4 linked regions of the Medicago truncatula genome follow. The protein of the gene in region 2 interacts with the protein of the main gene of each other region in a pairwise test. Links are inferred from orthologs where the notes say so. Each region holds a gene or a part of one and is shown on either strand. Other genes may lie near its edges.

Evidence for each region.
Region 1: the proteins of WUSCHEL-related homeobox 4 (region 2) and transcription factor DICHOTOMA interact in binary tests that used the Arabidopsis thaliana proteins (3 or more experiments, as listed by UniProt). The link is inferred for Medicago truncatula from reciprocal best matches to the Arabidopsis thaliana genes WOX4 and BRC1.
Region 3: the proteins of WUSCHEL-related homeobox 4 (region 2) and probable WRKY transcription factor 47 interact in binary tests that used the Arabidopsis thaliana proteins (3 or more experiments, as listed by UniProt). The link is inferred for Medicago truncatula from reciprocal best matches to the Arabidopsis thaliana genes WOX4 and WRKY47.
Region 4: the proteins of WUSCHEL-related homeobox 4 (region 2) and dehydration-responsive element-binding protein 2F interact in binary tests that used the Arabidopsis thaliana proteins (3 or more experiments, as listed by UniProt). The link is inferred for Medicago truncatula from reciprocal best matches to the Arabidopsis thaliana genes WOX4 and AT3G57600.

Annotation. Positions count from the first base shown.
Region 1 is NC_053045.1:54,388,996-54,395,506, reverse strand, and holds transcription factor DICHOTOMA, read left to right. Parts: upstream 1-4,338; 5' UTR 4,339-4,373; coding exon 4,374-5,474; intron 5,475-5,570; coding exon 5,571-5,636; 3' UTR 5,637-5,975; downstream 5,976-6,511. UniProt on the Arabidopsis thaliana protein: Transcription factor that prevents axillary bud outgrowth and delays early axillary bud development. Indirectly required for the auxin-induced control of apical dominance.
Region 2 is NC_053042.1:5,757,316-5,763,555, forward strand, and holds WUSCHEL-related homeobox 4, read left to right. Parts: upstream 1-4,131; 5' UTR 4,132-4,185; coding exon 4,186-4,425; intron 4,426-4,836; coding exon 4,837-5,154; intron 5,155-5,369; coding exon 5,370-5,522; 3' UTR 5,523-5,716; downstream 5,717-6,240. UniProt on the Arabidopsis thaliana protein: Promotes differentiation and/or maintenance of the vascular procambium, the initial cells of the developing vasculature.
Region 3 is NC_053048.1:52,389,194-52,396,386, forward strand, and holds the start of probable WRKY transcription factor 47, read right to left. Parts: upstream 3,012-7,193; 5' UTR 2,905-3,011; coding exon 2,689-2,904; intron 2,575-2,688; coding exon 2,503-2,574; intron 2,390-2,502; coding exon 2,243-2,389; intron 1,122-2,242; coding exon 915-1,121; intron 625-914; coding exon 511-624; intron 412-510; coding exon 1-411. UniProt on the Arabidopsis thaliana protein: Transcription factor. Interacts specifically with the W box (5'-(T)TGAC[CT]-3'), a frequently occurring elicitor-responsive cis-acting element.
Region 4 is NC_053048.1:43,371,328-43,377,903, forward strand, and holds dehydration-responsive element-binding protein 2F, read left to right. Parts: upstream 1-4,725; 5' UTR 4,726-4,790; coding exon 4,791-5,660; 3' UTR 5,661-6,067; downstream 6,068-6,576. Other genes in the region: DNA-binding protein SMUBP-2, read right to left, coding at 6,372-6,548. UniProt on the Arabidopsis thaliana protein: Transcriptional activator that binds specifically to the DNA sequence 5'-[AG]CCGAC-3'. Binding to the C-repeat/DRE element mediates high salinity-inducible transcription.

The sequences.
Region 1 (6,511 bases), on a different chromosome or scaffold from region 2:
ATAGACCGTTAGATTAAGTCATTAAGATATAGTCTTTTAATCTAACGGCCTGTAGTTGGCTGTAGATTATCCTTTTTTGGGGAGTTTTATATAGATATTCAATGTGACCATCCTAATGTGATTGGTAAACCTTGAGACACCGAGTTGAATTTGTATCACAAGGAAACTAGCCACTTTAATATGGTGTCATAGTTATCTTCTGGTTGAAAGCAACCCCACCCCTTAATTTCTTTGCAATATATGTGGTCCTAAACTTATATGACAGTCTAAACTCTAAAGTAGTGGCGATTGAGACAAGTATGCTGCTAAGCTATTGAAAGAAAAGAAAGTTGAAGATAAGTGGGGAGAACGGCATGCATAAATGGAAAAGACAGACAGAGAGAAAAACCATCAAATTTTTGTTAGTGTACTATGTAGGTATAGTGCTTTCAAGTGTGGATGTGGACTATTACCATTTTGAAAAATAAGTTGAGGAAATCATGCTGTGTTTTGGATTACAATTGGTCAATAGGGCTTTAGAGTTTAGAACATAGATGCCGGTGGCAAGTACAAGCACACATGTGCACTATATATTGCACAATAGCAATAATATATACATATATATCTCTATCTTTACAAAATAACAATCTTGGCATTGATAAAGAAAGAGTTAAATCAAGTTATAAGACAAAATTGGTTAATGAATTTTGTTTAAAATTTTAGCTAAAATAATCTCTGAGTCGAATATAAAATTATTAAAACCTCGTAAAAATTAATTAAGACAAAAAGAGATATAAAAGTGGTTACCTAGCTATAAATATCTATCAAGTTAAAGAAGATAAGCACGCATGGGAAGAGGGAACCAATAACTACTACAACATTCTCAAATAGATGTGATGGATAGATATAGATACATCATACATGGACATCTACTATATATCTACAATACTATACACCACAAAGAAAGAGTGATGGTGCATCTCTTTTTGGTGAAAGTGATGTTCTGAGCAACCCCAGTCAAAGGGAGCATATTGGCTAGCTAGCTACAAGTATACTGCATACATATATATGGATGGTTGGTTGGATAGAAATAATAATTGTACTCTCTACTCTCTCCACCACTTATCTCCTTTTAGGGTTTCAAGCTAGATACACTCATACACGTGGGTTTTTTCTTTCTTTCTAAATTTCAAACAATTAATGAATGAATGAAAAATGCATGATAAATATTAAAGAAGACAGAGAATAATAAGAAAATAAACTATTTGAATTGGAGGTCATTATCTTGGACAAATACCTTAATTTGCTCATATGATAAATTCAGATTGCTCTTTAGACATCTAACAATTACTCATAGACATCTAAACATCTCACTGATATATAGTTAATTATCGTTTGAACGCTTTTTAATTCGGTTAAACCGATTTAAAATATATTGAATGATAGTTAACTACCATTTAGCAGAACATAGTTAAATATCATTCGAGGTATTTTTTTAGGTGTCTCTGAATAATTGTCAGGTGCCTAAAGATTACATCAATGAGAAATTAGTGTTATATCACCCTATATGTACTAATTTTGCCATAGTACCATACTATTAGCCGTAAACCCTTATTCTTTCATACTTATTCAATAACGATTTTTTTAATTGTGTTTTTTTTTTTTGGTCAAGTAGTCTAGTGACTAGAGAAATTCACCTTAAAGATGAATAAGTGGGGTGTCCGGGGTTCGAACCCCGGCCGCTGCACATATTGTGCATTATCCCTTACCAAATGAGGTAAGCTCATGGGGACTTGAATTGTGTTATTTAACATCCATTTATATGACAACTTTTGAGACAATTAAAATTTGGCTTAATTGCACTATCTTTGGACCCCTATCTTTCTAAAAGTTGCGGTTATGGCCCCCTAACTAATTTAAATACAAAACAGCCCCCTATGTTTTGATTTTTTGACAGTTTTGGACCCCCAGTCCATTAGTGAGGTGTCACGTGGCCCCCTAAATAATACACATGGCACCTCACTAATGGAGCGGGGGTCCAAAACTGCCAATGAATCAAAACATAGGGGGCTGTTTTGTATTTAAATTAGTTAGGGGGCCATAACCGCAACTTTTGAAAAGATAGGGGTTCAAAAGTGCAATTAAGCCTTAAAATTTTATAAAGAAAATAAGGAATTGACACAAAAAACAACACAATAGAGAGAGAGAGAGAAAGTAAAAATATAATATATGATAGAGAAAATTGTAACAAAAGTTTTAAAAAAATGGTTTTTCAAATATCATTTCTCAATTTATTTACATCTCTCTTTCTACCACATCATAGACAAATCACACAAAATGTCCCTATTTATATCACTCATAGTGTATAAAAGATGTATAAGGGTTGTATAGATGTCCGCCCATCTTTTTCTTTAGTCTAATTGGTTTCCAACATGTTTCAATATTTTCTATTATATATCAAATGAGTAATGATATTTGTACACTCATTTGATGATAATTTTTGTGACAACTTTATTTTTCTCTCTTTTTATTAATCAAAAACAATATATATAGAGAGAGAGAGAAAGAGAGAAAAAAATAAAATAAAGAGATAGGATAAGAATATCATGTAAGTAATAGAGAGAAAATTGTTCAAAAGTTGTCACAAATATCAAATATCATTTCTCATATCAAATATACTTGAGGACATTTTTTTAAAGGGGAGAATGCTCATTCCACATCACCATCTCTTTTTCAAGCCAAACATATATAGCATGCCAAATAGTAATGTCAAAGACAACAAATAGATGGGAAACAAATTCAACATGAACAAATAGGGAGGCATAAACTTCCTCAAATATATAATGTTTGATTCAAGATCGTTGACTCAATTTTATAGTATATACTTATATATACGTCTATATGTATTTTTTATTTGTACCCGTGTCAAGACGTATACTAACGTGTTCATCTTTTCACTTTTTTATTGCGCTTAACTGTGTGTTTGTTTTATCTTATTTTCTTATAAATTTGTTAGAATATATTATAAATTAGATAATGTAAATCTCCACTAACGTTCTACAACCTTGTCTCATTTTGTTTATATTTTTCAATTTTTTTTAAGTACATGTTTGCACATATCCGTAAAGCATCTCCATATATATCCATATACTTTTCTTAAAAACAAAAATTATAATATTTAGGGTTCATTAAGTTTTTAGTCCCTATAAATATTCACAGTTTTATTTTTAGTCCCTACAAAATAAAATCACACTTTTTAGTCCCTGTGATATTTTTCTTTAAGCATTTTAGGGACTAAAAATGTTGATGAAAATTTTTTATAGGGACTAAACATGCTGATGGAAAAATTTTATAGGAACTAAAAATGTTGATGAAAAATTTTATAGGGACTAAAAACAAAATTGTGAATATTTATAGGGACTAAAAACTTAATTAACCCTAATATTTAAGATACATATATTCATGAAGTGTCTCAGTTAAGGAGCATCACACCCCATACTTCTATTCTATACAAGGTCAATGGTTATAAGCTTGGTATACATACATATATAGTAGTAGGAAACTAAAGGTGTGGGTGTGTAAGGGAAGTGATTGAAGAGGGTTTTAGTTTTCTGTCAATTCTCAAGCTGTGCCCACCACGTGAAGTGGCACACACAAACTATAACTTTTTCTATCCACTCACTTTCTTTCATTTTATCTTCCCTAAAGAGGTTATAAACTTTTTGCTCAAAAGCAAACCATATGATCCTTGTCTATAAACATTAAATCACTCTTGTTTGATTCTTTACCTTATTTCATATTTATTATTTATATTTATCTCCTCTTTCTTCTCTCCTTCCTTGCTAATTATACTACTCTCCTCGTAAGGTATTTTTATTTTCATTTTTATTATTATTGTCTATGTGCTGTCATTCTCATACTGTGTAGTACTTTGCATTTTTGAAGAAGCCAACTGTACAATTTATATATAGCATCACTCTCTCACACATACCGTGTATATATATATATACACGGTACTGGCAATGTCATAGAAGTAAAAAATTAATAGTACTTGTCTTACTCATCAAATTATGCCTTCCTTTATTTGCAGGGAGCAGAAAATATACACAAAAATGAACTGAAAAGGATGGAATTAATAGCTGCTGCTCTTACTTAAAGAGGAATTAACATGTCATTCTCAGGCTTTGGAAAGTCTCGATAATTAACAAGCCAAACCAAAATCTATAGCTATGTCTATATATATATATATATATATATTTCATCATCAAGACATGTACTAGCTAGCTAGGGCTATAGTTATTGTTATTATATATAAATAAAGATATATTTATAATATTGTTTGGTGTTGGTGCAGTACTGTCTATCTCAATCTCAATTCTCAACATATTCCAGATATGTATTCTTCAAATAGTTCCCTCAATGGAAATAACCTAGCATTTTCCTCTAAATCACCTTTTTGTTCATTTGAAAGCAACTCAACTTCATCAAAAGATATTGAAAACAGTCATTCCCCCTTTCCTCTTCCCAGTCCTTTCTCTTTCTTTCAATTCCCTAATTATCCTGATGATGATATTGATCCCTTTCAAGACAGCCATCAAATCTTCCTCCAACAACATGATGTTGATTTCCAACTTCATCATCCACCTGTTGTCATGAATAACAACAGTACTGATCATCATCAGCGGCCTTCCAATTCAACAATCAAAGCTAACAACAATCTTCTTCCTGCAGCTGCTGGTAAAGGCAAAACTGTAGTGGATCAGCAGATCCAAAGAAAAAGATCTAGCAAGAGAGACCGACACAGCAAGATCAAAACCGCGAAAGGACTAAGAGATCGGAGAATGAGATTGTCACTTGAAGTTGCAAAGAGGTTTTTTGGTCTTCAAGATATGTTAGGCTTTGAAAAAGCAAGCAAAACAGTGGACTGGTTGCTCAACCAATCCAAACTTGAGATCAAACTCCTTGCAAGAGAGAAAAATGTTAATTTTCCTACTAAGAGTGCATCTTCAACTTCTGAATGTACTGAAGGAGTTTCAAGCTTGGATAATGAAGTTGGAAATCAAGAAGAACCACAACAACAAAAACTTGTTATGAAGAGAAGAAATAGTACTAACAAGGTTTGTAGAAAGAGTGCATTCAATTCTATAGGTAGAGAAAAAGCAAGAGAAAGGGCAAGAGAAAGGACAAAAGAAAAAAGGAAGGCTAGAACATCACTAGTTGATGAATCAAATTCAAAGCAATACAATGAAGAAGGAATAAAAACTAACCTCATTTGGAACCCCTTTGAAAGTGTGGAAGAATCTGCAGGTACACATCAGAGTACTCAAGGTGTGACTCATCCTTCCTTTGATCATGTGAAGCTGATTGATGAGGCTGAAGTAGAAACAAGCTCTCAAAAAGCAAAGGAACAACATTCAGATGAAGATAATTCTTTGTTCATTATGAGCAAATGGAGTCCACCTATGATGTTCAATTCTCTCAATAACCTTCAACAAGTAAGTTCAAATTAGCCATGCATATATATATATATATGAAGCATGTATAATATATATCTGTAATCTGATATATATAAATCATGAAATTGTTTGCAGCATCAATTTGAACAATTTCACCAATCCATGGAAAAACCTTGGGAAGCATACAACAACCGCATTTAATTAACATGCTACCGTACTTGCACCCCTTATCATCACCTCCTCCTTTTTGTGTCAGTCAGGCTCAGAATAAAATGCATTATGCATTGCTGTGTTATTTCTTTGCTTTCCTTTTTGGAATGTTATGTGGTGAGGTATCTTCAGAATTTTGGAAACAATATTTCATAAATATTGTTGTGTGTGTATGTCATCTCTATTTAAAGTGTTGCCACTTTCTTGTTTGTTTCTGTTCTGAGTTCTGACCTTGAAATTGGTACAAGTTTACAATTTATATATGTGTCTCTTGTAAGGGGTATTTTTAATTGATGATAAAGAAAAATAACTGATTGATTTTTCTCCCTATCTGGTGAATATATGCAGTAATTAGTTATATATCATTACATTTTAGTTTTGAAATGGAGTTGAGGTGTGTTCAATTTAATGCTGCTGCTATTGATGTCATATCCATTTACATAACAGTGTTCCTGATCCTACCTGACATATTTCCACATGCTGTAGTTGTTTTTTCTTCTCTCAAAGTCCAACCGTCCCTTGAAGAAGGTTAGGGTTACTTGTCAGATGAGGATGTATTTAAAATTGTTTCCAAAACTATAATATATATTATGCATTTAGCCAATGTTTATAGAGGTCACTTTTTTTGTTTTTTGTTTTAATTGAGAAAGGAGAAGTTTCTATTAATCATGATGACAGTAACTAATGATCATTTTACAACTATTCTAGACGAGATTTAAACTTTGTTCAAATCAAGTTCCTACGACCTAATCGACACGTGAACTATTTATAGGTCACCGATTTAACACTTGGTCATCCGATATATATCTACTTAATTTGGACACATGTAATCCGCTTAGCGGTCTCAATATGTTTGTTAGGCTTAG
Region 2 (6,240 bases):
TTTTTTAGCAATAAATTGGTTTTTGACGACGAAAAAGAAAGTACTACCTCCGATCATATTTATAAGCAAAAAATAGCTTTTTAATTATATATTGAATAATTAATGTATCCGATCATATTTATAGATCAAATGCATTAATTATTCAATGTACTTAAAAAGTTGTTTTTTGCTTATAAATGTGACTAGATGAAGTATGTTTTTAAAGAATATTTTTATCGAAAAAAAATAGCGGAACTTACTTGTATTATATTGTTGAGTGTGAGTTAAAATCTCATTATATATAAAAGAGAAGATTTTGAAAAAGTTTTTTTTTGGCCTCGCATGCTAGGCATATGATGTTTATGAGCGCATAGGCTTGTACGTTGTGCATGTTGTTAGTGATGCGCTTGGCGCATGGCTCGGGTTTTGGACCTCTATTTAAACTTTCTTCTTGTTCTTTTTGTATAATCCTTGAAGAACCAAATGAATATACTCTTGGAAAACGACTTATGCCTTTTGGGAGAGATTCTAGGGGTGGGAAACACTTTTATAAGAGGGTAAATGAGAGAAATTTAAGAATGTTCTTGAGAACATTGGGAGCTAGATTTCTTATGACTTTTGTAATTCTCTTGTTCATGAGAAGATAGTGGAAAATGGTACGATTAGGTTTGGTCTTGGAGAGTTTGTGGAAAACTAATTTATTGTGTTTGTTTAAAGTTAAATCTCTTTGTAATGACTCGTTGATATTAGATTGGAGATATGGCCACACCCTTGTTAGCATTTTTCCTCTATTTTTAGTGCATTAAGTACCGAAAAAATCAAAATTATGTGTAGGTCATTTATATATTTACATGTACACAAGGCTCTAACCATCCCAAATCCCGATGACATTTATCGATCAATTTCATAGTATATAAATGAATTCATATATTGAACTTAAAATTTTCATCTTAACTAATTGATTTTGATCTGTAGAAAGAATATAAAAACACCTTGCCATGTTGATTCAATCATTTTTTATATGCAGTAAGTAAAAAAACTATATAACCTAACTAATGAGAACTGAGAATAAAATAATAACTTAAACTCTTGATAGAATCTCTCCCTCTCCAATAAGCCGGCCCTAGTTTTCTCTCTCTAAGTTTTCTCTTACAATTTCTTTATTGAGGGGTGACTTTGGGTCAATACTTGACCTGAAATCACCCCTCTTCATCTTTTTCTCTTTATTTCAATTTAAATAAGTGATTTTCACATAGATCTAGGTTTTTTTTTCTTTGTAATTTCATCATCTAAGTGTGGTGATTTGTTGTTCGTCGTCTTGTGCGGCGTTGTTTGATTTCCCGTCTTCGTGCGGTGTTCATTTGATTCATATTGAAATATCGATTGTTCAATCAAAGATTTGGGCATCAACGTTGCAGATCCGGAGACAATGGATATTCCGGTCACTTTAATTTCATCATATATTTGTGTAGGCATTATGCCGTTATATGCTATTAACTTGGATGTTGTGAGTTTGTTCGCAGATTCATCCTTTACGTTTTTAGCGGTGTTGAATGATGTAATCTCTCAATTTGAATGTTTGTTATATCCACTAAGTTATAGTTTATAGTTTTTTTAAGGGAGTAGTTTATACTTATATCTTGTCAAATTTTATATATATAATGTATGTATAATTATATTGTTAATTCAAAGAACTACGACGGAAAAATTCCCAGCTACTCAAGAGTACTCAATCATATGCTAGTAGGGAAGTGAGAATTATTGCCCGGCCACTCCTCATGTCGCTTTGGGAAGTGAGAATATGTTTAACCAATACGAATGAAAATGCACATACACATTTCTATATACATTTGAATCTTTGATTGGTTATTATATAGTAATATGCATAAGACATGGCTCCACTTGAGGAGTCCATATAAACTATAATAATACACCAACAGAGTCAATTTGGATAAAAAGATTAATGAAATAAAATTTTAAGGCTATATCACGAATGCATGGTCTATACGTTGAGTATTAAAGTAGAATTTGGGAAATTGGTGCTACAGTTCCTAAAGTAGAGGAGTGGATATTATGGGGTTCGATCCGATAAGGAAACTATTTTTGAAAAATATTTATATGGTCATAAGATTATAGACACAAGATTTAGCTTATATTCAAGGTTTTGTTTAATATATTTGTATATAGGATCTAATACATCTTTATAAAACGGGTAACTCGTTTTTTAGATGAGATGTCACTTCTCACAAATTTATGTCACGCTTTATATTATTTTATGTGAGAATATTTTTTGCAATACACCGCACCCCTATTTAACTTGATGCATGTATTTTTTTTTTTAAGCGACTTGATGCATGGATCTAATTTATGGTGTTCCAAACCAATATACATATATGTTATGTAATTCGTCCTTACAAAATTGGTTTATAAACACGTTTTAAACTTTAATTTTATTTTATAGTATACTTAGTTTTTCTCAATATGGTCGCCATAATAAGTCCACATCTTTCCCTACTCTTGCATTTTTTCCTCATATAAAAATCTGTATCTTGAAAAAGCAAATAAAAGGGGTTCCATCTTCAAGTTTTGGGATTGGAGGAATCTTTTTGCATTCATTCCTCACTTCACTAACTTTAATTGATGAAGGCCACCGAAAAGTGAGAACACCTTATGATGAAAGTAAGAAAATTTTAAACGACCCGATTTGACGGGCCAACCTATAAACTCCTGTGTCCACACACGTTTACATCCTCTTCATTCATTCTGATTCAGATATGTGTACAACATTCCCTTTCTTGAGTGTCAAAAATAATAGGGAAAGAGAAAGAAAAAAAAAAAGATAAATTAAAAGTAAAAAAATGTGTGATATTTGATTTGATGAATGAAAAGGTTAAAACAAGAAGAAATTTTAAAGTCATCGACATGAGAAAAGAAAAGAAAGGTGTGATCACCGTAAACCTTTTTAAAGATGTTCTATTGCTTTTTATTATCAAATAAATTTAAACATATTTTGATCTTAATACATTCTATCATGTGCTAACAATATATAGTTTTTTTTTTTTAAGGAACAATATATAGCTTTATTGCCTCTCAAAAATTAATATATAGTTTTATTACGCATATATACAACTAATAATTAGACATAGCAACAAAGCCCATACATGGGGTACTCGTTCGAACCAAATCTAAATTGATGAGTTTTACCTGCTTTGATTGAGTTTGGGTTATCCCCGATTTTAAAATACAGATACGGTACAGGTAATGCGGATATAAGTACTCACCCCGAACTCATAACCATACCTGAAGGTAAAAAATCAATTTATTATATCTTTTATATAATATAAACTCAAATCCTAAATCATTTCACTAACACGATCAAAGTCTCAGTATTCATTTCTCAAAGTTTTCTCTCTTCTCCTTCCACATCTCACACCCTGAGTATCTTTCTTCTCCGTCACCATAGCAATCAATCACCATCATTTATTTGCAGGATAATGTATTACAACATTGAGTTTTGGGCTGAAAAATACATTTTTTTATTAAAAAAAATTATCCACTACGGGGATGGGGATGAGATACCCGAACCTGTCAGGGACGGAAATGAAATTTGTTTTCTCATCCCCGTTGGATATAGGTAAGATAACGTGTAAATATTTGAGATTAGGATATGAGGACAAGAAAGGTAAAAATTGTCTCCACCCCGCCCATTGCCATGCCTACTAATTAATAATCAAAATACACTATAATAATGTCATTTTGCTATATTAGTTACTAAGTTTTTCTATATATAAAATAATGAAATATGAATGAATGTACCAGTGATAAAGTTTTACAATAATTTTAATAGTGTATAAAAATCAAATCCAAAGGTTGTTACTCATCTGGCAGCTGGAATGAACCCAGGCACAGTAGTATTCTCTGAAGGTACAAAATGTAAGTTACAGTATTTGATTTGATTTGAAGAATTTTGTCGTGTTTTACTTTTGGTTTAATTTAGAGAGGGAAAATCAAAAGTCAACTGCACCTCATCATTTGGTCTTGGTTCTTACACGCAACACCTCATTTCCCACTTTGTATACTTTTCACTGTTGTTTTGTTTTTCTCATCATCATAATTTCCATTCATTCATTCTCTCTATATAATCACATTCCCTGTCATTCATTTCTTCATCACACCGTGTGGCAAATTATATTAAACATAAACATTATGAAGGTGCATCAATTCACACGTGGATTTTGGGAGCATGAACCTTCCCTCACACTTGGTTGCAAGCGTTTACGTCCTCTTGCACCTAAAATTTCTTCTAATAACACCGATAATTCTACTACTAACACCCCTTCTCTTTCTTTTGATCTCAAGAGTTTCATTAGACCCGAAACTGCTCCCAGAATTAGTCTTTCTTCCTCTGATGATAACAAGAAAGATCCACCTTCACCACAAAGCCAGGTTCATATACTAACCTCTACTTAGTTTCATTTCCATTTCTTTTAATTAACCATGCAGTAGAGTGATAATTAACTCACGTGTGCATATAATGCATTAAAAAATTTAGTATAATCAAGAACAACATAAATAATTCACATTAACTTCATGTAATATATAGGTATATAGGGTAATAACATATTTCTGACTATAATACTTATAAACTTCAGTTATCAGATGTATCTATATTTAATGTCTGATAATTCTTCTAACATGAACTTGCTCTTTTTCCATATAAGACTTGAGTTACATGAAAAAAATATTAAACGACCAATTTTTTATTTATTTTTTAATTAAACGAACAATATTTGTCGTTTAAAAGCTTTTGATTTGGCGATTATATGTTAATATGTATTATTATTTGTGTATGTATAGGTTGAAACGCATATTCCAGGAGGGACAAGATGGAATCCAACACAAGAACAAATAGGAATATTGGAGATGTTATACAGAGGTGGAATGAGAACTCCAAATGCACAACAAATAGAACAGATTACAGTTCAACTTAGCAAGTACGGTAAAATTGAAGGGAAAAATGTGTTCTATTGGTTCCAAAACCACAAAGCACGCGAGAGACAAAAGCAGAAACGTAACAGTCTTGGCCTTCCTCATAGTCCTCGAACTCCCACCACCACACTTGTGTCTATGTCCCCCACCTTTAGTACTATTACAACTTTGGACACCCCAAAAAGGGTATGTTCGTATTCAAATAATATTCAACTCAACCTATATATCGTGGTTTCGAAATGTCGTTGCAGATACCTTAAAATCCTTTATATTGTCGACGCAACTATAGTCTTGGACCATAATTTAAAACCATGAACAATATGTATATACTAAAATATATTTTTGTTACTAGGTTATTAAATTTTGTATATTTAATTGAATATGTTACATTTTTTGGATAGGTGCAAGTAATGGAAAGAGATCAAGAAGATAGCCCATTGAAGAAGAGTAGGAGTTGGCCATTTGAGTATTTGGAAGAGAAAAATTGGTCAATGTGCAAAGTAGAGGAACATAAAACTCTAGAGCTTTTCCCATTACACCCAGAAGGCAGATGAAGGAGTTTGATCTATAACAATTTTTAGCTTTTTCTTTCCAAAATGTGCTTTAATTTGCTTTAGTAATTTCTTCTTTCATTTACATTGGGAAAGAAGAAAGACAAAGATGTTGTCACTACTGTATCTTTGTACTCTTTTCACGTAATGTTATAATTCCATGACTTTGGAGCCAAATTAACCAAACTTATTTGTCACCCTTTTTTCATTTGTTGATTTCAGCGTAGTAGGTGTGACTTTGGAAAATATAAATCCTTTTTTAGACGACATAAGCTTGTGAATCGAAAGCTTTTAGGTTAAAAGGTGAAGCTATACAGACACTGAAGTCCACGCACCTACTTCTACTAATCTTATCTTAATTAAGCATTCTACTAATCTTATCTTAATTAAGCATGTACTATACTCTCATATTTTAGGTTTAAATTTGAATAAAGCATGTAATTGTCCTCGATCTAGCCGAAATCTTAGATAATAATCACACCGGATACTCCACTCACACTATAGATCAAACTTTCATAAAGCAAGGCCAAATTCAGTTATGAAAGGGTACACGAGTCCATTTATTTTTTTCATCCTTGACATGCAAATAATTTAGGCTTATATTTCAGATTCCCAGTGCTTTGGTAGGGCCAATGATTAACCCACCATGAGAATTGGGAGGGAAAGAAAGATCAACAATTTGAAAAATTCATAATTAAAGTCTATAGTCGCCAAAAGGCAA
Region 3 (7,193 bases), on a different chromosome or scaffold from region 2:
AAAATTTGGATCTGAAGAAATGGCTGCACTAACACTCTCAACCATAGATGAAGGTGGCGGTTGCCCTAGTTGAAGTAATGGTGGTAGCTTGTGTGAGAAGAACAATGGTAGAGGAACTCGGTTATGATGCATGGAGAGGTTATGGTTTTGTGTGAAGTCGAGGGTGATTGTTGGGAAGGGCTGAGAAGCTGATAGGGTTGAGGTTGCCATTGTTGCATAGGGAAATGAATTAGATAAATAACCTGTTGCTGATTCCTTTCTTAGTGTTGATGAGGTTGAACTTGATAGCAGCATTGCTGCAGCTGCTGATGTTGTGTGTGCTATGGCAGTTGCAGCTGGTGGGAGTGGGTGATTGTGGTTGCCTTCATATGTTGTTATTAGTATTGTCTTGTCTTCTGCACATCTTTGGACCTGTTCAAGAAACAAAGTGCACATATACTAGTATATATATATATATATATATATATGATTAATTTATAAAAGAAACTAAGCATATGATTAATTTATTACCTGTTTGCGAACTGGACATCCTACAGCCATAGTGCAACGATAGTAGGCACGAGGACAAGGGTTACCCTTGGCCATTTTTTGTCCATATTTCCTCCACTGACATCCATCGCTGATCTAAAATCATCAATAAATAATTAGTATATTATGTATTGATCTAAGCTATTTAGCATTTTTCTAATATTAATTAATTTCCACATTCATTCATTCATGCATGTGGCCGGCCTAGCTAGCTAGCTATATATCTATCCACCACATGAATTAGCTCTTCAAAAAACAATATGCATGCACCAAAAATAGCTTAGGCCTCACCAAGTTAATATAACTGTACAATGGTGTAATACGGGTGATGATTATTATTATTAATAGTAGTAGGATAAAAAGTGAAAGATATTAATGTATAGTACCAGGGGAGCTTCTGATCTTGCACGTATGGAAACCCTGGCTTTTTTGAAAGGAATTAGGTCTTGTGTGGGTTCTTCTAACTTGGATGAGTGTGAGGAATCTTCTGCAGGATGATCATGAGGACAAGCCTGTTTTCCATCCGAAACCGATGCATTATTATTATTCAAAAAAATTTGTTCTGATACCATCCCATGATTTTCTTCCATATTCTGTTCCACAAATATTATTACCTTTGTTCAGCACTATTAAATGAAATGTGTCAAATTTTTATTGCTTCAGTGTTCTGTTACTTGGTGCCTACTTTAAATTACACTAATTATTCAAAAGATATGTATAAGAAATATAAATTTAATCATTCAAAAGTTTATGATACACCGCAACAAAATCTTGAATAAGCCAATAAAACAACAAAATAAGAAGTTAATGAGTTCAATGACTCAAAAAATATTAGAAACATGAGACTAAAAACTTAAAAAGTGATTTAATTAAATGAGTTGTTTTTCCTCTCAACTCTATGAGTCAAATACAAGAGAAATAAAAAGTTGATTATGACTTATAAATAAAATTAGGAAAATGTTAACCGGTGTCTCCGGACACTAGTTAACGTCTTTAAATGTTAATTTATCATGAAATTATGTGTAATCAAAATATTTAACTTTTTTATAACATAAGTTTCTTCTTTTAGAATCCTTAAAGAGTGCCCCGGAGGCACTCGTTAATAAGACCCATAAAATTAATGGAAAAAAAGATTATTAATAGACCCGACGGACCAACATGCTCCCGCCCAATATCACTGCCTCATTTTTAGTAGGTTTGACCAGACCAACCAATAATGTCATCTTCAAAATTTCAACTTAATCTCGAAAAAAAAAAACGGGTTAAACAGGCTGACATGACCGAAGTCATATATCATAAAACAAAAAAATATGTATTTGAAAAATAATTAATTAAAATTATACCCCTAAAAAAATTAATAAAAATGTAATGTATTAAACGTTTGTTGACTATACTAGTGGAAAAATCCAAAGAAATGAACTGAATAGATATTATAGTAAGAATGAGTTTGAAAAAAGACAGCCAAGGTTTCTAATTTAAGTGAGGCACGCTACCCTTGTTTTCTTTATTGATGACTAAGAAGTTTTTTTTGAAAGGGATGACTAAGAAGTTTATAGAGTTGTAGACATTAAAAAAAAAAAATCCAGAAACAAACAAATCATTATTTCGTTATAGGAGAAAATAAAATTAAAGCATAGAAAAAATATTTATCTGATTGACGATGAAAATTAATAATCAAATGTTGGAAACATGCTTAGATATCAAACATACACACCTGACCATGGTTTGGTTTTTGTTTCTGCAAAGTGATGAACAACTGAGCTTGTAGTTGGCTATAGCTTTTGGTAATTTGTTCTAACATAATTCTTAATTTATGATTCTCTTCTTGCACCCTCCTCAATTCACTTTCAAGTATACTCATCTGACAACACACATATAACAAATTTAAAAGAAAATAAAAATCCAAAATATATATGTTCTTCAAAATATAAATTAACATAAAGTTAAATTTTGGTCTATAGTACACACACAAACCTCAGTTTCAGAATTTTCAAGATTTTCTTCTTTTGAAACTGCAGCACTTGAACACATTAAATTCAATCCAGTCTGTACGAAAAAAATTAATATATAATATAATGAAATATCACAATTGATATGAATTAATTTCCAAAATTTACATTAAAAATATATATAAATATAATTGATATTTAAAACGTTTACGTTAACAGGGTCATGATGAGTGAGTAGTAGTGTTGGTAATGGTGATACTTCTTTGATGATGCTGCCATGTTGATCAAGATCATCTTCTTTATTGTTTTTGTTAGGTGATGATGAGAAGAAATCCATTTCTTTGATCGGAGGATCTATACTGTTGTTGTGGAGGAAGTCGCCGGAGGAGCTTAAGAAGGATAATTCACGGTGGTGGTGGTTTTCCATTACTATAAATAATAATTAGCGGTGTAGAAAGAGGAGAGAAAGTGCTAGGGATTTAGCAATGACGTGGTAGTTAAGCTTGGAAATTAATCACCCTTCTTCAACTTAAATGTTTAATTTAATTTAATTTCAATCTAAATGCTGAAGCGCACGTCCTCCTCCCTCTTTGGACCTTAAGCTAGGGGTCCCACATAGAAGATTAAAATGAAGAGACCTTGAATGGAAGAACTTCTTGTGAAGAAACTAGCCATTTTTGGCTAACAATGACGTCACCATTAGGTTACAAACAAATGGTATCCTGCATGGAAAATTACTATTTAGGCTTACCTTTTTTCTCCTAGCCACCCTAAAATTGCGTTAATACTTTCAAAGCTTCTGGCTTGAAGGATTAACTCGTTGGTTCATTCACATAGATACAAGGATGGTAGAAAGTGTTGAGTATCATCGTCCATCGACCGACTTAGATGGAAGCATTGAGTTCACCCATATGAAGTTCAGGAACAATGATAACATGAAAACCATGTTTTTTATATTTGGTCAGTACAATATTAAATGATTGATCGAGTTGGATGCTTCCTTAGCCAGACCTATCAAAGATATTCAAAAACATTTTATTCGACCCAAAATCTCTTCATCTTGTATGCAGGTACCAGATGAAGAGGTTAGTTTGGCTGATTTGTGATCTTGTGTTTGTTTTATTAGTTGTATTGCAATGTACTTTAGTGAATGTTGTATTATTGTGTTGTTTTATGTTGTATTTGGGTTTGAGTTTAATTAACGTAAGTTCTTGTTGTTGTAGTAAAATTTGATTTAATTAATTGAAATTTATGAAATGTTGGCATTAAAGTACTTTATTTAAACAAAGTATAAGGATTTATTTGTCTTTTTGAGAAAACTCAAAAGAATGGATAGAACATGTTTTGTATATTATTCCTAATGAGCTCTGCAGGTTTTCACATCGAACCCTTCATATATAAGATGAATGGTGATGAAAGAAAAGGTGTTCGAAGATGTTGTTTTGAACTTGATTATGCTCTTATGTCAAATGAAATATGTCAGTTGGATGGACAATAAGTTCAAGCTCAAAACAACATCTTGGAACACCTTCCCTGTCATCACCGCTCATCTAATAATATGAAGGAAATATATATGTCAGTTGACAGAACAACATGATCAAATTCAAAACAAAAACATCTTCCATTTCATCACCACTCATCTTATATGAAAGAATTCGATGTGAGAATCTGCTCAGCTGATTAGGTAGAATACAAACATGTTCTCTCCATTTTTTTGAATTTTCTTAAAGAGACTAGTAAATTCTTACACTAAATAAGGTGTTTCAATGTCAACATTTTTAGAACTACTTCTCATAATAAATTTAATTATTTTTTTATTTAACAATTTAGTCAAATTGAAAGAGATTTCTTATTATCTTATTCAAGTGCATGGTTGAAGTAATTTTAATTATTTTTCATTTAATAATACTATAATTTTTTTAATTCTTGTGAACTAATTGGTGTTAACCTTCGATTTCTAGAGAAATTGAGTTCTAATAATTTGAAGTTCGATCAAGAGATAAATAAAGTTTGATCAATAATTGTTTCATCTAGGAATTAAACTCAAATTATTTTGAATAATTCGTCATTTGATGATGTTCATTAATCACTTGAGCCTAATTGATTGATTATCAGTGAACTAATTTGTTGAAAGGGATTTATTTTTTTAGACGTATAAAATATATTTTTGCCTCTTCCAAAAAAAATAAACTACAAGGATGAATAAGGTCAACTTAGTTGACGGCACAGCTATTTCTCTCTCAAACGGTGGTTAGAGCAGTGAGGCCCACAAGATTGGAAAACCTAATCCTACTCCTGCTGACTTTGAAGGTAATAGCAACGTCATTGAGTTCATATGTCCATCTCAACTAAGGCGTATTGAAAGACCCAACCGTGTAAGCCTAACTGCGGGTCTCCAAAGGCAAGGGAAAAAATAACGACTTCATAATCATAACTTGATTTTTAATGATCAACCCAATCAATACCAAACTGTTGTCAATCCTAAAATTATCAATCACTTGCCATTTGCTTGCGTTTGGTCTTACATTGAGTCCTCCAAAGGTTTTGAATATAACTTATCACCAAAATTATTGACTTTAAATTTGTTAAAAAGTTCAACCCATTTGTTTCTCAAAATTCGATTGTCTTTTAGAGTGGATGTTATTACCAATAGAGACTAGAAAATATATATAATTTTTTTTAATCAAATAGTTTAATGGTTAGAAATTCATCTTTTTAGGTCAATAAGTAGGTATTTGAATTTGAACTCTGACCATGTATATATTATGCAATTTCCATAGCAATTGAACTAAGTTAACGAAGACTATATACTAATTTGTATTGAGTGAATAGATATTTTATTATTTATTTTGAACGTCGTTCCTTGATATTATTTTAATTGAACAAAATGAAAATCAAAACTGACCCAGCATCATTAGAGGGCTAAAACAAATTTTTTAACGAGACCTTTAAAAAAAGCAACACAAGAAGATTTAAAAAAAATAATAATCAGGTTTTGCTAAATTCAAGGTTTGAGCTTGGATCAATGAGGATATGAAGGTCTCTCACTTTGACCAATTAATCAAGGCAAGCTATGGATAATTTTAAGGCGATAAAAACAATCCAGGTGTTTTGAGCTTGTCTGAATTTTACTAAGAGTTGTGTGTTGGACATTAATGTTGACCATGGAATCCTTTACTTTATTTCCTACTCACCAATTTTTTTTTTAAAGAAAAAATCAATATAAATAGGAGCAAAGCAATATAAGTTGATGCAATTTCAATGGAAATTAACCCTTACATAGGACCCGATTATGTCCAAACTGCACCACATACACATTACTATGATATTATGTCCAATTGTATTAGTCTATATTAATTTATGTCCAACGAAATAAATTATATATTTCTTGTTGTGTTTTTGAAGTGATATGAGAGAATAAGAGATTGTCATATGTTAATAGGCATGACAATGGGGCGGAGTTTTACATTCCCCATCGCCATACCCGATACTTATATATTTATCTGTTACCCTACCCATATCTAACGGGGATGAGAAATTGAATCTCATCCCCGCCTCATTCCCGTTCTCGCATTGAATAATTTTTTTTTAATAAAAAATAGAAGTTATTTTGCATCCCCAAGAGCAATGTTATAATACATCATCCAACAATACGCTCACTTTAACATTTGTTAGACGAACTGATTTAGTTGATCCTTTAAATATCAATGGTAGTTTTTATTAACATGACAATTATCAAACAAAATAACATGACATGTCAACATAAAGTAATTTTTTTACATTTGGGACGAGTTTAGGTATGGGTTCGGGGTGGGTACCTATATACCCGTTACCCGTCCCATACCCGTATTTTGAAATCGGGAAAAACCCATACCCATATCCAAACCCAGTCAAAACAGGGAAAACCGTCAAATTGGGTTTGGTTCGGACGGGTAACCGTGGGTGTTATACCCTGTTTTTGGACCTAAAAATACTGGGCCCAATTTCATTTCAAACTTTGTCAATTATCAAATTTCAACTGCACAGTTCAATTTGTCTCTGCCTCGCAGTATTTTCAATCACAATTTTACCTATGTTTTTCTTGCATAAAACCTTTTAAAATGTCTTTACTTGTCTTGTAAGTCATTTAAAAGTGTCTCTGAATCATTACATTGCTTTTTTCTACAGTTTATTTCAAAATTTGCAAAAAGTCATACAGAAGGGTATTTTGGTCATTTCCTGCAGTGGGACCCATTTTCATCCTTGTGACTGTCTCTGAGTCTTTTCAAATTCATTTTTAACTTTCCATCAGTAAACTTTGTTAAAATTCATTTCAAACTTGCATCTGAGTCAGTGTCAAGTCAATTTGATTCAGTTTAGGTCGTTTTTAGCCCTAGGGGCATTTTGGTCATTTCACATGAAATTTTGGCATGGGGAGGTTACTTTGAAGTACCTCATTTAAGCCATTGGTTCGTTTTAGTCCGTTTTGTCAGTTTTATTTTTGTTTCACTTTACGTTTGGTCAAATTACGTTTTTTATTCAATTTTATTTTTTAATTACATTTTGGTCCCTCAATTGAGGTCCCAAAATTACATGTCAGTCCAGTTTCTTTTCCAATTTTCATTTTAGTCCTTTTTTGGTCAATTACAGTTTAGTCCTTAAGTGTTGTTTTTTGCAGAAAAGTCCATTTTTTGTACAAGGCCGTGTCACTCTTTTTTTTTCAGGTCCAGGTGTCAC
Region 4 (6,576 bases), on a different chromosome or scaffold from region 2:
GCCATTCCGCCCCATTTATGCGTTTTTTTTTTCTTTTTTCTTCTTTTTGCGATTTAGAGTTTTGTTTATGCAATTTTATCATACTTCATTTTGTTGATCATGTATTGGATTTCAAGTAGGATTTTTGTTTTGTTTTTGTTTTATGCAATTTCCGTGTTTCATGTCACAGGGATATACATAAATTGAGATCATGTATGTTTACGTTAATTCAATGCAAGTAGGCATACATGAACTAAGTTCACGTAGTATATGGAATTTCAAATATGTTTACGCAAACTCATGTACACTTACAAAAAATCAGTACAAAGAGAAACTCAATTCAAGTACGTTTGTGCAAATTCAATTAAAGTATGTTTACACAAACCCAATTCACGTATCACATGTTGATTCTAAATTTCTAGATCTTATACAAACTCAGTTCAAATTCATTTTCATAAACCCAGATCACATGCAACTTGTACAATTCACGCATGCTTATGTGAACTTGGTTCAACTAAATTTAATTCTAGTACATTTACATTGAGAGTAATTTGGGTATTATTTTTAAATATTTTGAGTTTGAGGGGTGTGCCACTAGTACAATAAGGAGTGCAACTAGCAAAAATAATATATATTTATCCCAATTTTTTTTTTTTGGGTACAATTTATCCTAAAACTTTAAAACTTATAAAAACAGTTTAACTAAAATTTTAAGAATGAAGAATTTCTTTACACTTTCTAAACAAAATAAATCAGAAATAATGAAGGGATTCAATGTATTCATGATTATATTTATCATCTTGTTATTATAGTTTTTTTACCGACATGAAAATAAATCAGAAATATTTGTGAAATGAAAAAACATCTAATAATTTTTTACGTTTAATAAGAGTGATGATATTTTGTCCCATTAAACCTAATTCAGTTGGTAGGAACATTGCGTAATAAATACAAAGCGGAGGTTCGAACCCTGAATATCCCACTTATATTCACCTGAATTTTTAGATACTAGACTACTTGATAAATAAAAAACAAAAGAGTGGTGATATTTTTTACTAGGAGGAGTGGTGATATTCTGCTATGATAAAATGGTAAAATAAAATGAAACGTATGTATCCCCTCAAAAAAATAAAAAATCAAACGTATATGTATAAAAATTTATTTACATTCTGTCAAAAAAAAAAAAACTTGTTACATTGTGTTTTTTCTAAGAATTGTTTACATTGTGGTTTTATAGTCATTCAGTTAATTTACCATATTGTGATAGTGTAAACAAGTTTTTAAAATAGTGAAATGTGCTCTCTTTAACAGTGTCCAATATATATTCCTTAGTACGTACAAACTCAACGTCATGATGATATACTGGTCATGTATCTAAGAACCATAACGTGCAAGAATGTGAGTCACGAAGAGATGCATACATATAGAGAGAGAGAGAGAGCAATTACATTACATGGGATAAAGGTGAAGTGAAGTCTCGAGAATCAGGATGTGTATTGCAGGACAACATGTGAAATATAGGTCGTGATTTGGAAAATTGTTGAGGTGGTTCTTACTCTTATCTAATCACTAATAAGATCCTACCCGAGGACAAATCAAAATAGAATCCAAGGATGAGTGTCAGAGTTCATTCAAGACAATCACTACATCACTTTGGAAAAGTCTTCATTTGCAAATATTCTACTCACAATCTCTACACCCATCATTCAATCAATATCAATATAAACCCATAAAAACAAGATTAAGGTTTAAGTAAAATGTTGCATTTTTGGTATTTAATTAGTATCGTTTTGATCTCTTAATTAAAATTTGATTTATTTTGGTATCTTAACTTTCCATCCTTACATATTTTGGTCTTTTATGTTAGTTTTAATTTAAAAATGTTGGGTTTTCTTCATCTTCTTATCATCTTCTTCATCTTCATATCATCTCCATCAACATTCAACAACAAAATTCCGAGAAAAATTTCAGAAAATGAAGAAAACCTAATGTTTTTGAATTAAAACTAACAGAAATGACCAAAATGTGTAACAGAAAGAAGTTAAGATACCGAAATAAATCAAATTTTAATTAAGGGACCAAATCGATACTAATTAAATAGTTAAGAGACCAAAAACATAATTTAGCCTGTACTATATTCACAACCAAATGATTGGATATTAACGAGCTTCAACAAAATACAAACCGTTTGACAAAATCCAAGTTTGACTTATGAATGAAATATTGTTTTAGCTAAAAATCTATTTCATTCTAATATATTTTTTTGGATATTTCCTAAACATATATTTTGGCAAAGAAACTAAATTGATTGATGATCTTTAATATAAGAGACTAAATTGTCTGTCGGCAAATTTAAGGGATTAAACTGCTCAATCTATGTACCTAAAAAAAACTGCCAATATTTATAATTTTGGCTGCCAAAATGTTGATTTACTCCTTAAATGTGATCCCAGAAACCATTCAATCCAACAGCATGGGATGATTAAGCTCTTTTTTTTTTGACACGGGGATGATTAAGCTTGAGATTTGTATATATCATTTATCCTAAATATGAATGTATTTTATTTTATTTTCTTAAGTAAAAGATAAATATACTCAATGAATCATCGTGACCAACTGTTAACTGACCATGCAAATTGGAGCTCCAAGAAAACTGTGTGACCCGTGAACACCACAACAATAAAGAATATGTAAAATGAAATAGTCAAACAAAATAATCAATGGAATGTAAATATGCCCACCCCCCCTTAAACCGACGTAGAGATCTAGAAAGTCTCTTTAATTTTGTAAAAAGCTCTTTAAAATTAATTTGACTCGAAAGTAAGGGTGTTCACGGTGTGGTTTGGTTCAGATTTAAGCATTAAAGTCATCCAAATTGTGAGATAGAAAATCATGCAGTTTGATTTGATTCGGTTGATTTTTAAAAAGTCATCCAAACCAAACCAATGCGGCTTGGATTGGTTCGGTTGGTGTCGTTTATCGTGAGATAAAAAATAAGTTTAAATGTGTCATTGGTCCTTGTACTTTCATCAGATTTTGGCATTGGTACCTGCACTTTTTTTTGTTTGGCATTGGTCCCTGCACTTTGTAAAAATATTGGTATTGGTCCCTCTGTTAACTTTCTGTTAAAAAAAAACACAAAACCAACGGAGTGCCACGTGGCCCAATCATTTCACGACACGTGGCACCAATATCAATATTTTTACAAAGTGCAGGGACCAATACCAATAGTTTTGTGTTTTTTTTTAACAGAAAGTTAATAGAGGGACCAATACCAATATTTTTACAAAGTGCAGGGACCAATTCCAAACAAAAAAAAGTGTAGGGATCAATACCAAAATCTGATGAAAGTACAAGGACTAAAGGCATATTTAAACCTAAAAAATATTATGTTAATTCTAATATTGCCGATTTGCTACAAAATAAACACATGACATTTTATTTTGTTGTTTACATGATAAAATAGGACAATACATCAATTGCATAGATCCTAAACTTTTATTTTCAATACCAACAATATATTGTTTTGCCTTAATATAATCATGTATTACATGTGTCATAAACTGGGTAAAATTATATGGTTGATTAAAATAGGTAAAATTATAACTAACAAGATTAAAATCAAATGCAATGTATGTCAAAAATCAAATATGATTGATTGAAGCACAATTAAACAAAAATATCATGGAATCATTGTCACTCATTACTCAAAAGGAAACAAAACAAGTGTATAAAGTTACACACTAATTATAAAGTCACTCATCACAACATATATAGACAATACATATAAGTTACACACAAATTATAACTAACCAGATTAAAACCAAACAAAACTTATATCAAAAATAGATAAAATTAAGAAGAAGCATAAGCCTGAAACAAATTATTGGGGAGAAAAGGAAACAAATTCATCACCGAAAATTAATTGAAGGAGATGGAAAGCAAATAGAATCGAACTTGGGCTATGTAATTGGGCTCGTACAAATTTAAGTAATATTGATTATTCTTGCGGTTTGGTTCGATTGCTGACAAACCGCAAACCAAACCGAACCGCACGGTTCAATGCAAAAGTCATATGAATTCATCCGAACCAAGTGCGGTTTTTTGCAGTTTCGGTTTGAATTGGTTTGGTTTGCGGTTTTTCTATTGGGTTGGTTCGGTTTTGAACACTCCTACTCGAAAGTAAATCAATGTGGATATTTTAGCATTCAACCTTAGATATTTGAGGATACGATTATATTTATCTCTTAATTTCTAAATTTTTTTGAAATGATTATCTTGTATGTGTAGTAAATAAATAATAAATAAAAATATATGTATCTTGTATGTGTAGTAAATAAATAATAAATAAAAGTATATGTATCTTGTATGTGTAGTGAATAAATAATAAATAAAAATATATGTATATAACTATCCATCATGCGTTAACACCATGCACACTTGTACTTTTTAAGTCATGCACATATATGCTGGCAGCACTAAGGCAAAGGCTATTCAAAATAAAATTAAAAACAGAAAAGCCTAAAAATAATTTATTAAAAAAATTATTAGTAAGAATTTTGTGGGTAGAGATGTGAAAAAAATGAAAATGAAGAAAAGAAAAACACGATTTTGAAGAATGTATGTACTGAGTAACGGTCACATGGATTTAGCTACTTCTCCAAACGTGAAAACATTTACACCAACCTCCACCCTTTGCTTCTACATATCCCGCTCCTATAACATGCAGTTCCAAGTATCACTCACCACTGATAATACACACACACCACTACTACTTTCACTTGTTCTGTTCTACTATATCCTCAATATACATGATGGATAATTCCAAGAAATCCCCCTTGAAACCATGGAAGAAAGGGCCAACCAGAGGCAAAGGTGGCCCTCAAAATGCTTCGTGTGAGTATCGAGGTGTTCGTCAAAGAACATGGGGGAAATGGGTTGCTGAGATAAGAGAGCCAAAGAAAAGAACCAGACTCTGGCTTGGTTCTTTTGCCACGGCTGAAGAAGCTGCCATGGCTTATGATGAGGCTGCAAGGAGACTCTATGGACCAGATGCATACCTTAATCTTCCACACATGCAAACACACTCCAATTCAACTATGAAAACTGGAAAGTTCAAGTGGTTGCCTTCAAAGAATTTCATTTCAATGTTTCCTTCTTGTGGATTACTCAATGTAAACGCTCAACCTAGCGTTCATTTGATCCATCAGAGGCTACAAGAGTTTAAGCAGAATGCAGTTGTTGCAAGTCAATCATCATTTTCTAGTTCATCTAATGATCCAAAGGCAGAAGAAATTCAGAAAGTAGACAGCAAGAAGAGTCATACAGAAGATCCTTTGCCAAAGGAAACAATCGTTCAAACATCGGCAAATAAGATGCTTGGAGATCTTCAGGAGGAGAAACCACAGATAGACCTAAATGAGTTTCTTCAACAGATGGGAATACTGAAAGAAGGATCACACTCTGAGCAAACTGAGAGTTCAGGAAGTTCAACAGTGCATGAAGTTTTGCCAAGAGATGATAATGATCAATTAGGAATATTTTCAGACATGAGTGTTAATTGGGAGGCATTGATCGAGATGCATGAATTTGCGGGTATTGAGGAATCAGAAGCCACCCATCTTGAAGCATATGACCCGAATGACCACCTTAATTTCTCAACTTCCATTTGGGACTTTTAAGAAACTTAGCTGATTTGTCAAGAAACGAGGAACCACCTTAGCTAGCTTTTATGGACTTGAAATCTAGTTAGAATTAGATATGATATTCCCTCTAGCCTTAAATATAAGCAAAAAATTACATGTATTTGATCTAAATTTGGACTAAATACACATACTTTTTTGCTTATAGTTAAGGTCGTAGGGAGTACTACTTAGTAGTAACTATGCCTAAGCTATAGATCAGATGGTTTTGGTTCTGCTAGTACTCAATTGTTGTTTGACTTATGTGTGACGAATTTCAATTTATTGACAGCAATGTAAGAGTAGGAAAATAGCCAGGAGGGAGCTTGTTTTAGTAGTAGTAGTAGCAGCAAAGACCATGTCACACTCACGCAATAATTTAACAAATTTAAGATTTTGACAGTATATTTTTAACAGAAGAACTTTCAATTAAAAATGATGTTTATAAGCATCATATATTAAGTATAAGAAAGATTCATAACAAGAAGAGACTAAAAATTCTAATTCCAAGTGATTTTAAAATAATAATATGGAGATCAGGAAACTCTCCTAAATAAAATGGTCTTGTCTACTTTCTTCTATAATACTACTTCAATTTCCTTCAATTCTAAATAGCAAAAGAAGGATTTTAGAAACCTTCACAGATCTACATCACCAAAATCGACAAATTGATCACATCAGAGCTATAACAGCAACCTTCGGGAATTTCGCCTATTCATTCTGGTACTCGGATGCACTCTGATATTCGCCATGCTCTTCAAAATATTCAATCAACCGCTTTAGAAATCCATCACTACTGACTGTCTCAGTGTCACAGACAATACAGCATTGTCTTCTTGCCCGTGTCACGGCCACATTCATTCGTCGGCGATCACTCAGAAAGCCCACCTGAAACGCATATTCAAGTCTCTTCTTT